Bombyx mori: one gene and its partners. The protein of the gene in region 2 interacts with the protein of the main gene of each other region in a pairwise test. Links are inferred from orthologs where the notes say so. Each region holds a gene or a part of one and is shown on either strand. Other genes may lie near its edges. The genes, in order: protein abnormal spindle, calmodulin and centrosome-associated protein CEP250.

Region 1 (4,232 bases), on a different chromosome or scaffold from region 2:
ACCTGATTTATCGTTAAGTTTGTCGAAGGTACGGTTTATCGTGAATGTGGTCATTTGTTTGTCAGTTTTATCTAACACCTGAGTATCGGAGAGATGGATGCTTTCTTCTGGGATAGACTGTAAGGGCGGTGTTATTGACCGGGGCGGGGATCTCCCGTCCGCTCTAAGGTCAGACTGCCAAGGACTATGCTCCAAAGCATTCAATAAATTTCTGTCATGTTCCCGCTGTTGGAACTCCTTGAATAGAGCTTGCCTACACATCTTAGGCTGCTCTTTCAATAAGTGCTGCAAGGATTTCTGTTCTACTCGCAACTGATTAAAGTTTTGTTCAAACGGTGTATTAGGCGACTCTTTTGTGTACGTATCGGAGCATAGTTTGCCATCGTCGATGATTTCATGAGTGTCATTATTGGTTTTCGGCATGAACTTTCTCTCGGTTGAAAAACGTTGAGGGAAAAACGACAAGTCACTGATGCGCGAGAATTCTGTGTTTATCGTGAAGTTTGGACTGTTTAGTTCTTTTGGTGACGAGGTATTGGGCTGTTTTTTCTCTACCATGTTCGGCGTTTCGGTGAACTGTGAGTCTGCTTGAGTATAGTGATGATTAACTGTGAGCCACCTCTTAGGTTGGGCCGATGTGATGCTTATAATGGAATGCATTTCATTCTCCTTATTGTTCTGCAAGTCTAGGCTATCATCAAAGTCACTGTCGGAATTTACACTAAGCACTATTTTAGGACCTTTGTCCAACTTAACGACTTTAGCAGGTAATGTCTTCAAAGGAGAAAATGTTAATTTATCAAATATATCAGAAATTGAAGTATTGGGATGCATTTGCCTATTAGATGGCTTTAAAACGTTTTGAGGTACATTATATCTACTGTCAGTGGATGCATAAGTTTTATCATAAGTATCTTGCAAGTTGGATTTTCTTATGTTCGAAAAGATTTCGGAAGTGTTGAAATTAAAATCTATACTGTTCGGAGAGTCAAAGGGACATTGCTCCATGTGAGAATTCAAGGAATGCTCATTTAAAACAGTATTATTCTCTTTTTCAGATACAGTCTGAATATTACGTTGAGTGGAATGTTTTATATTCACCCAATCTTTACTTTTTATGGTTTTATTAATTTTTTCAGTTTTCTTTTTGTAAATTGCAACTGGCGATTTTTTTGATGACTTTCTTTTCATTTTACCTGGTGATATTTTAAACCCTTTTGATTGGTTTGTCTTCCCTTTGACATTCTGTGGGCAACAAAAATTTAATTTTATGAGAATATTTAATAATACATTTTTTACAGTTAAATCCTATGAATGATATTGCCTTTTTTATTATCAAAATATTATAATACATATTTGTTTGGAAATTATTAAGTCTCATCAGGTTTGATGATTGGCGAAAACTAATAGAAACATAATATAATACCTCATATCGTTATTGCCATTCCAGTACGCATGAGGTGTCAAGATACTACAATGCATCCATTTTTAGGTCATTCATTATTAAACCATTCCGAATCAAATTCCTTATTTTATGAATATGAATAGTGTTTGAATAAACTGGGAAATATCGCGACTGCTTTAACTCTTTTGCTACTATTGGTGACTCTTGCCACAAAATGCTGCATGTACACTATGGGTGACTGGGCTGAAAAATACCATCTATACACGACAGGTCATGTGCGCACTTTCAGCACAGAGCTTGTTTCTTGCGAAACGCTTTGCAGCAAGGCTCCCCATGGCGAAAAGGTTAAATAGTTTACTTAATATAAAAGCGATTGTGATTTTATTGATAGTGACATCATTATTTTAGACTCTTATTTACATAACATATCCAATTAACGTCCACAATTTACAAAAAAAAAAAATCAAAAGAGTAGTACTAATTGATAATAATCATTACTAACCACCACAGATTTAAGAAGAACAATGACATCATGTCTTCTATGGTTCTCATTTGTGAAATTAAGGGTTTCTCTAACAGCAGTAGGCTGGTTGGGGGTCCATACCATTGTCAATATATTACATGATTCCGGTTCCACTTCCAACCATTCTCCGGGTATATGCACAATCAGTCCTGGTGGTAGAGCTTTACCTAGAGTTATCTGTCAAAGTTAAGTTTAAAAATTTGTTAGTACTGAAAATTTATTGTGGTTTCAGCTTAAAGAACACTCTCGATACACCTGTATATGCTTGTGCTTGTTGCCATGTTGGTTTTAAGAATTTGTTTTATTCATACGTTTCGATGAATCCTAAATTCATGTATATTTCAATTTGTTGTCTTTTAATTCTAAGTTTTTCTCAAATCAAATGAAAGCTAGACCTATGGGTATTGTATTTTTCCCAGTGGGAAAACCGCTGTTTTTACTCACATGCTGTGGTTGTTTTGTTGGATTAATGACTTCCAAGTTTCTCTCACAAGTTGTACCAATGATAACATTGTCGAACACAACTTGTGGTGGTCTGGAGAACGGAGCTAACACCAAACGGGGACATTCTTCTTTGGGTGATTCTTCTGATTTACAGGCAGTACGTCGAGCCCTTTTAACATGCTCCGGGGTGTTTTCAATCTAAATTTATAAATTTCGTTAAACCCAACTATTGTTTTTGTTTAACAGAAAAAAATAGCTGTTACTTACTTCAAAATACATGTTTATCACATAGTATATTTATCAACACAATTGTTTGTAAAACTCATATTATAATTTGCCTAAGCTACAATATTTAATATTTTGTCATAAAGCAGTTATTAGAATTTATTTAACTGTTTCTTGTCGACAACTTGGTTTGAATTCAAATTTTCAAATTTTTATTTCTAAAACCAAAACCGTCATTTACAGTGTTGCCTAGTAGTAGTAGTTTTATTTTCCAAATGGAAAGGCAAAGATATCACACCATACAGTCTAATATTTTATATATATATTTTTTATGAAATACGATATTATGCAATGAAATGAAGCTGCTTAATTTAATATGAAACATGGCATGGCATGAAATGAATTGAAATGAGATGATATGATATGGGATATTTTTATGAAAAATGATAATATGGAGTGAAATGAAATTAAATGAAGTTAATTAATTTGAGACATTAATCAACTGGGATGAAATTAAATGAAATAAGATGAGATGGTATTTGATGAAGATTAAATATAATCTTAGTAAAATGGTGGTCATTTACTCAGATTTTTTCAGTGGACTTTTTGGAGGATCCCGAGAAGTTATGTCCAGCGGCTTTGTTTCATTTTCCCACATTTGGGCATTTTCACAGATATTAAACAGTTAACAAACCACCGTTATTACACATTTAAACCTGAACAAACACAAAATAGACAAAATAAAACAAATCGCACAACTTGACACCGCGCGTTCCCGCCAAAAAAACGTGTTGCCTAACATAATATGCGGTTATACCGGTCACTCACATTCGCACGAATACGCAAACCCACAAGTGTAGGACGAAATTTGCAAATGATTATGCAAAGTTTTCGCTGCATTTGTGGTTTTCCAAGCTGTGTCGGTTTTTTAACGGACATCAAAGCGCGCTAACCGCGATCCTTCGCGTAGTCTCCCACTAGTTCGTGTGACCAGTTGTGCCCACGATTGCGAAGGTAATGGACGTTTCGCCATTTTCATAGTTCGTGACGTCTACTGTGTAGCGCACCTTCCTCATGGATTGGAACAACACCAAGGTGATGGAGTTCATTGAACTCCTGCAAAATGAATCGACCATATGGGACCCTCAAAAGAAATTCCATAAAAACAGAATGTCAGTTAATCACGCCTGGGAAAGAATTGAAAACTCTTTTTCTCTTCAATGTTGTGTTGACGAATTAAAAAAGAAGAGAAATTCATGAAACATTCCTAAACAAGTGTAGGAGGAAGCGCAAACGGGTTCTCAAATTGAATACCGAACCCATTTGCACAGCCGCTAAGTTTGCGAATGAATGTCTGACAGCCCTTCAAATGCGCGCGAACATTCGTACAATGTACGAATGTTTGCGCGCATATGAGTGGCCGGCATTAGTGTCACTTTTTATTTTAAAGTGACACTATTTTATTTTGAAGTGTGGATTCGAGTCTGTTTGCAAAAACCTTTTAATTTAAATATGTACTCTATGAAAATTAATGCGATCAGAAAAATATAATAGTTTACCGAAAATTGTAATCAATTGGGATTATGTGAATGAAATAGAATGAAGAGTAATTTTTTCTGATTTTTTTTTCTGTAC
Region 2 (4,267 bases):
GGTGGCGCATTTACGTTGTGGATGTCTATGGGCTCCAGTAACTACTTAACGCCAGGTGGGCTGTGAGCTCGTCCACCCATCTAAGCAATAATAATAAAAAAATTTGGTTGTTGTGGGCCGAAAGTTTGATGATTAGTCAAGTCATGGTCTGTGGGCGAAAAGCAAGTGCCAAGCAAAATTCAAATATAGACACATTGCTAAGAGCCAGTTTTTTTCCAGGAAAATCAAGAAGCTCCATGTATGTCCAATCTCGAATTCACGGCCGCTTAAATGGGATACTACTGTACTAAGAGCAATATATTTTTAATTTAACTATGTTTTAGTTATCAATAACATGAATAACTAAACAAATAAATCTAAAAAATATAGTGATGCACAGTCACTAACTTGTTCACATTGACACAGTAAAAATAAAACTAATATTACTTGATATAACTATGTTGTATTCTACACAGTAGGCAATAGGTATGAAATACCTAAGTTATGATTCAACGTAGGAACACAAATGTATGAGGCATAAATTAACATTTTTTGTACAATTCCGATACAACTACACTTTTTAATGTTGAATTATTATTTAGATTCAGCTTGTTAGAGACAATAATCATTTGAGCTGAAATATCACTCCCTTTTTAATAAATTAATTTTAATACATAAACATGCTTAATGGATTCTTTTTTATTAGATGTGAATAGTCTCTTTAAGCACTATCGGAGGGTACCAAAATGATGTTAGCCTAAGAATCGCTTAAGCTACATTTGACAGGGCCACAAGAATTTATTATCTTAATTTTAGTTCCAATTGTAGTTAGTAGGTAAATATTACACTATCATGTCACTTGAACATTTATTTAAATATGGATAATTTGGCCTTAGCTATTTTAGAAAAGAATATTGCACATATATTGCCCTTTTTACATGATTTGTATTATCAGATATTCTAATGTAGTGAGAAACATAGCTTACAGCCCACAATGTCCTACATATTAACTGGAGAGTTGTATGAGAATGCCTCCGCTAAGCCTCGACACATTGAAAGACCTCTATTAATTATACCAATAGGTGCTAACAATGGTTCTCATAATGTATGATAGAATGTGCTAAACTCTTTCATATTTTCTTTTTCCCAACTCAATTAAATTGAGCTTCAGATTAATCTCAACTCCTTGGATTTTCAAACACATTAGAAAAAAATATAATTTCAGATATATACAAAAATATTTAACTTAAACATATGTTTACACTTTAGGTGTTATAATAATATATTAACTTAATTATACCAAGTTTATCCTTAGTTGAGAATGCATATTTAGCATTTATCAATGTTTACCACCAGTTTATTATTTATTATACTCAAGCTAACATTTCATGACTTCATTTTATTGAGTAGCACAGTTATTACTAGAACAATGGATGTAAAAAAATAGTTAAAGATTAGAATAAGATTAAAAAGCAGATTCTTTCTGTATGAATTTATATACATTCATAGCCATGATCTGCGAACTTAGAACAATAAATAAATCATAACAAAAACTTTGAATGGCTGCAGGGAAAATATCACCATTATACCCCACATACCCAATCCCCATTATTTTACTGGCAAAAAACTTTCAATGAATTTTTTTAAACACGAGTATGAGTATTCTCCGCTGAAATAAAATAGAAAAAATAATGGCTAGGGATTTAGTCAGGAACAAACTGTAATACTGTAGGCAATAGGGACTACACCGATCCTTGTGATTTCAAGTATTCATATCGAAGCTTGAAAGGCAAACGTGACTAAGCGATAATGCGTGAACTTTACAGTAGACTAATTTAAAGTTGAAATACCTGAAAACAAAATTTATTTTAATGAATCTAGCTGTATGATTGAAATGATTTTAATAGACCTACAAATTTATTTTTCGTTGCGCACTGAATATGGTTATTGCTTATCATTTATGTACAAAGCAGTTATAGTCGCTTAGTCAAGTTTGCCTTTCAAGCGTCGATTTATTCTTAATTTCTGTAACTTCAAGCAAAGGAAATTTTGGTGTAAGACACCAGAATTCAGCTTTTAAAATATAACAAGAGCATGTTAAACTTTTTCGAAAAAAAAAAGAAAAAGAATTACAGCTGTAGTTTTGGTTTGATAAACAAAAACTTATTTACATGATTGTTACTATAAGTGGCACCGTACGACGATGAAAGCGACAAGTTTAGTTACCATTATGGAATTTCACAGCAGATGATATGTTATGTACAACAACACGGTCTAACGAAAAGAGTTTTACGTAGGTACAATATCAGATAATGACGATGAGTCAACGAGCGTTTGACAGTTGCGCCCGGCGATCGATCCTCATAACAGCGGCCGCGGCCTTTCGACAATATGCCCAAACTACAAAGCCATTTGTTTTCTTTCCAACGACGTCCCTGCGCCATTTCAACCGACATTAACGGCCTACTGCAAATTAAAGAACGTAATTTCACCGGCACCACCTATTAGATTATGGCGACCGTTGTTTCTGCATAGGCTCGTTTTTAAATATCGCAAAATCTAAAGCTTTCAACACTGCTTTGAAGTTTATCTATTTCGAAAGCCTCGCTGTGAGGCTTCAGTTACGCCTTCTGATACTTCTCGAATCCGCAATGCGGTAAAAAAAACGGCCATCACAATAATATAATGGAGGCCGTCATCACTATAAACACCGATGCATAACTTCTCCGAAATACGACCCGGAAACTGTTCCTCGTGATCTTCTGAAGGCACTCCCGACACCTTTCAATAGAAATAGCACTCACCATTGTAGATTAACTTGGATTATCTGGAGCTACACTAAAAAATCACAGACTACGCCGCAAAAGCGACCGCACGGACCGACGGCTGAAACGATACTGCCGCCCTCACTCGCGCGAGTGGCCTCGCTGAGAAACTCGGGATCGCGGTTCGGATCGAGCTCGGCCGCGAATCGTTCCGAATCGACTACTCGATTCGTCGCACTGTCATATCCGTCTTTCGTTCACGAGAAGGTTAGTTTCGCAAGCTGCAGGGCGGAAACGGTCTACACAATGATTATCCTCGGAACGTCCAAGTCCATGTTTCGGGACGCACAACACAGGATTAAATTTGCTCTGCAAAGGATAGTCGGTTTTATAAGGGGCGGGTGCGGCGGCGTAGAGCGCGAACCGGCGCGCGCCGATTGGCCGCCGCGCACCTGCAATGCGTCACTGCGGCCGCGAGCCCCACGCCAGCGAGAGCGGCGCCCGCCCGTGCCCGCTCCCGAGCGCCGCTGCCCCAGATCCGCGCCGCAGTGCCGCCCGCAGGCGCCGCTAACGAGATAACACGGGCTTCCCGACGCCGCGCCCCCACACACGCATTCCTACTGAAAGTAAACGTTGCCCTATCTTGTCGCAATATCATCTTCCGTATGATTCGCACACAATCGGAATGCCGGAAATAATAAAAAATTAAAAAACAAAAAAACAATTACCATAATTTCCTACCAATTAATATAGACAATTGAATTATGATAGTACCTACCAAAGTAATCTCTTTTATTTAAAGATACGTAAAAGCAGACTAAAAATATGAACTTGTAGATTGTTTATGATCGCTTTATTGTTTACGTGTTTATTGACCCTGAAAAATCAAACAAAGGCTTCAGGTTCGATTTAGTATCTTAAATATTTTTAGCATCTGGGGCTCTAGGTATATTTGTTCTCGTCTCGTGTATATATTTCCAGTATACATAATACAAGAAAAACCTAGCTTGACACTGTTATTTGAGGATTTTTATTTACAATGTGTGCAATGAGATGTAATTAAAAACACACGTCGGAAATATTTATGAAGCATTCATTGTAAGAACCCCGTAAGATTAGTACTAGTCACAAAGAGATTCTTATTACATTGTAGAAGATATTATAGAAACGAAAATGAATGTAATGAAAGGCATGCAGATTATAACTTTAATTTATCATTTCCATAAAAAGATTTTTTGTAGCTAAAGGGGCAATCACGAATTCTGTACTGTAAAACCTTATATTTAAATAATGTTCATTTCATCCTTTCAGATTAGATGGTTTTAAAGTTATAATATTATAATATTAAAAATTTTAACTCATTTTAAGAGAAAAAATTAATTGTCAATTTTATTAAACAATCGATTGTCGATTGTAAGTATCGATTTTATGCAAGTCAAGAAACACATCACCATTGTTTAGATGACAGTACTACCATCTGTGATTGAGTTATAGAACTAAATTGAAAAATGAAAGTTTTCCGC
Region 3 (3,656 bases), on a different chromosome or scaffold from region 2:
ACATAATCCAGAGCGGATGATGACATTCGAGCTGTCATTTGACAGCTTCTAACCTAACTGGAGCGTGAACGTGACTGAATACTCACGTGCGGGGGCTGCGGGGGTCGCGGAGGGGGGGCGCCGCTGCTGCACGGGACTGTAAATATATTCGTCTTTATTGATGCAGTGTGCTTATTTTGATGAAATTAAAAGTACTTTTACAATCTAATCTCGTGTTTTTATTGTCAATAATACTTAATGCGAGATTAAACCATAAAGATATAAGTATGTACGAGTCGCGAATATCGAAGATAATTTAGACAAACGACCATACGACCCTCCTTACAGGAGTGGCTGTCATTATCGTTTATGGACACGCATGGCAATGCCTAACGATATTTATTCAAAAGATTAATTGAAGACATGAGCGGATGAAGGGGTTTAGTACCATTTTTTAAATTTTATCAGTTTTACATTGAATAAAGGTGTTATGTACCTATAAACCATGTTAGACCTTAAAACTTCGGGTTTAAAGGCTAGTTTTAGAAATTGCATGTAATAAAGGAGTTATCTACGAAGAAACTTTGATTTGATTTGAAAAAGTACAAGTAACAAAAGTTCATTGCCCGTTTTCTCAAAACTAACAAACTATCATATCCCCTTCATCCACTAACATCTTCAATTTAATATAAAATTGAAATACTTAATTAATTTTTTAATTGAAATAAAGTTGCAGATGGGGACATTCGTCACGCAATATATAATTAAATTTTTTAACTCGGGTCTCTGGGTGAGTTGCAGTAACCACGTTGTTATGATGATATAAGATGGGTCTTCCTTTAGTCATTATTTAACTACCAACCCAACTTTAAAAAAAAACCATACAAAGGTTTTTAAATTTAAATTCAATTTTGTATGCATCAACATGCACGGCAAACCACTGTTCAAAATATAAGGTTACTTTAGAATCTATATATTAACACGTAAAGTAAAAACTTTGTACCCCTTATAACGAAAATTGCGCGGACGGAGGAGTATGAAATTTCCCACACTTATATAAAATATAGAGAAGGAGTGCAGAATGTTAATATTTTTTTTAAATTATGCATAAAAAATACTTTAAATCAATAAAAAAACATTATACAAATTACATGTATTTGACACACGCACACGCATGCATAATACTATTTGTTTATTGCCAAGCTTTTCTTAATGCTTGTACTTACAGGAAAAATTTGTCGCGGATCATCTCCCAATTAAATTAATCATAAGCAATGAATGAAATGTATTCAAATCTTAGCTGTATATATTTTTTTATTTTTGATGTTAATGCACTGTCGATTGCACCTATAATTGAGGTGACATCAGCCATGAACTTTTGTCAATGTTTTGTATTGATGATCACTTTGTTGGTGCAACTTAATAAATAAATAAATAAATAAATAGTCTGTGGTCAAATTGAGAATAGAGTAATATACTTTTTTTTATTGTCTAAAGTGTAGTCTTGGCGAAATCTTTGATTATAGAAGCACCTTTGACAATAACATCATAATAGTACCTATACAAACATATAATTTAAATTAATTATAGTCGAATTTCGGCTATCAAGGGACCACTAGTTCTTACAATTACATATGGGAGTTGCTAAGACATGTAGAGACTACTATGAGCAGCTGTGGGTTCGTGTGTGCGTGCGTGCGGGGGCGTGTGTGCGTTGCTGCGGGTGGGTGCGTGCGTGCGGGTGCGTGCGTGCGTGCGGGTGCGTGCGTGCGTGCGGGTGAGTGCGTGCGTGTACGTACGTGTCGAGCAGCAGCGCGGCGGCGGCGGAGACGCGCGCGTTTCGGCGACGCACCAGGTACTGCAGCCGCACGGCGCCCACCACCGCCCACACGGCGCACCTGTACCCACATGGACTCTGTAGCCACCACCACGTCTGACTGCCCTCCGCGTACTGACGCCATCACGTGCGCATGCTTGACGTTGCGTGTATTATACCGTAGCGGTCATGGTAGCATACATGGCCGATAACAATCAGCAGCACAGACAAGTGATAACAGTCAGAACGAAAGGCAGAATATTGGAAATGATATATCAGTGTCTCACGTTTCCTGCTTAATCATCACCCTCCAACTTCCAATCGAAATATATTCCTCTCTAAGTTCTTCACCCGACGTCGATTTGAAAGTGCACAATTTCATTACGAGAATTGCAGCGAATTACAGCAATACTGATTTTGTGAGCTCCATTGATTACCATTGTGTTAGGTAAAGAATGTAATCTATGGCAATACTGCCAGACTACTTCCGCCATTAAAACAAGTCACACGCAGAGCTCATGTCGTTTTATTATAAAATATAGTTATGTTACAGCCCGGCTATCCTATAACTTCATACATTGCTTATCCATTGATTATCGTTACCATGACGTCACATCCGATCATAAAGTCCTAGGCATTTTTTACGACTTCAAGTGAAACCAATACAGTATCATTTCCCACTTCAAGTAAATTTACAGGATTTTTTTGAAGTGGTCCTTCCATCGAAGGGACTGAATAAAACTTACTTGAACCGTTCCTTGCCAGTGCTGACCCGGGCGGCGCCGGACGAGGGCAGCCGCAGCGTCCTCTCGAGCTGGACGTAGCCGTGCAGTGTCCGCTGAAGGTACCGCTTCTGCCAGATCAGAGCTTTACGGATGCTCTCCAGGCGGATACAACGACTGTGGAGACAGCGGATCTGAAATATCAGTCCGAGTTCGTTGAGATCGTTTTTTACTGACTGGACTCGTATACTAACTTTGCTAAGCCTAAATAGTTTGGGTATAATTTGTCTTACACAGAAAAAAAGTTTTATATTATATTAATATGACACAATAACAAACTAGTTATATGTGCGTGTCTCTATGTACATTTTTACATAAAATAAACGTTTATTATTTTATAGTGGTCCGCTCCGGCTCCGCTCGGGTCTTTAACAAAAATTTCAACGATATTTTTTTAAATAAAAGAACACTTATTGCGGCATAACTATAATAGTTAGACATATGCTGTCCCGACACTTTTTGTAAATAATAATGTGTTCTACAAAGTCCGTAGTACATTTTTTTATTCTATCTTCGATAGTTTTCGCAGGGCACGCGATGTAAAGAATATTTTATATAATTTTTTTACACCTTGGGTTACATTATTGTAGTTCTAGTAAGGATCCCTACTTTTTTTCCACAAATATTATAGGTAGCCTATGTCAAGATTTTTTTAAATCGATTCAGAACTTTCGGAGTCTATTCAATGCAAACAAACAAACAAATCTTTCCTCTTTATAATATTATAGTAAGAAGTATAGATTTACAGCCGCTTTTATTTAAGCGTCCTAAATATTTATATATTTGTCGCACATGTTCCGTAATGAAGAGACTTTGCACCTTCGAGCGGAAGACAGATTACAAGCGATAAATAGGTATTCACGTCGCCCACAATAACAACTTTTTGATGTTCACATCAGTTCAGAACATAAAAAAATCTTAACTAGGTATCTGTCAATTTATTCTCGATCAAAAATAGAACACGATTTGATGGTGTCATGATATTTTTGGAATTTATACGCATGAATTCCGCGGAAATTTCATTATTTTTTTATAATACATCTTTGAAACAATGAAAACGATTTAGTTAAACAACAAAA

The links.
Region 1: the proteins of calmodulin (region 2) and protein abnormal spindle interact in a two-hybrid assay, tested with the Drosophila melanogaster proteins (2 studies listed by BioGRID). The link is inferred for Bombyx mori from reciprocal best matches to the Drosophila melanogaster genes Cam and asp.
Region 3: the proteins of calmodulin (region 2) and centrosome-associated protein CEP250 interact in a two-hybrid assay, tested with the Drosophila melanogaster proteins (2 studies listed by BioGRID). The link is inferred for Bombyx mori from reciprocal best matches to the Drosophila melanogaster genes Cam and Plp.

The regions. Positions count from the first base shown.
Region 1 is NC_085123.1:5,077,733-5,081,964, reverse strand, and holds the start of protein abnormal spindle, read right to left. Parts: upstream 2,857-4,232; 5' UTR 2,652-2,856; coding exon 2,640-2,651; intron 2,571-2,639; coding exon 2,373-2,570; intron 2,106-2,372; coding exon 1,908-2,105; intron 1,246-1,907; coding exon 1-1,245. UniProt on the Drosophila melanogaster protein: Required to maintain the structure of the centrosomal microtubule organizing center (MTOC) during mitosis. May have a preferential role in regulating neurogenesis. Required for germ cell mitosis and oocyte differentiation.
Region 2 is NC_085129.1:643,807-648,073, reverse strand, and holds the start of calmodulin, read right to left. Parts: upstream 2,866-4,267; 5' UTR 2,787-2,865; coding exon 2,784-2,786; exon of another isoform or gene 2,209-2,783; coding exon of another isoform or gene 2,206-2,208; intron 1-2,205. UniProt on the Drosophila melanogaster protein: Calmodulin mediates the control of a large number of enzymes, ion channels and other proteins by Ca(2+). Among the enzymes to be stimulated by the calmodulin-Ca(2+) complex are a number of protein kinases and phosphatases.
Region 3 is NC_085109.1:14,329,809-14,333,464, reverse strand, and holds part of centrosome-associated protein CEP250, read right to left. Parts: exon of another isoform or gene 3,460-3,656; intron 2,712-3,459; coding exon 2,542-2,711; intron 1,878-2,541; coding exon 1,779-1,877; intron 137-1,778; coding exon 87-136; intron 1-86.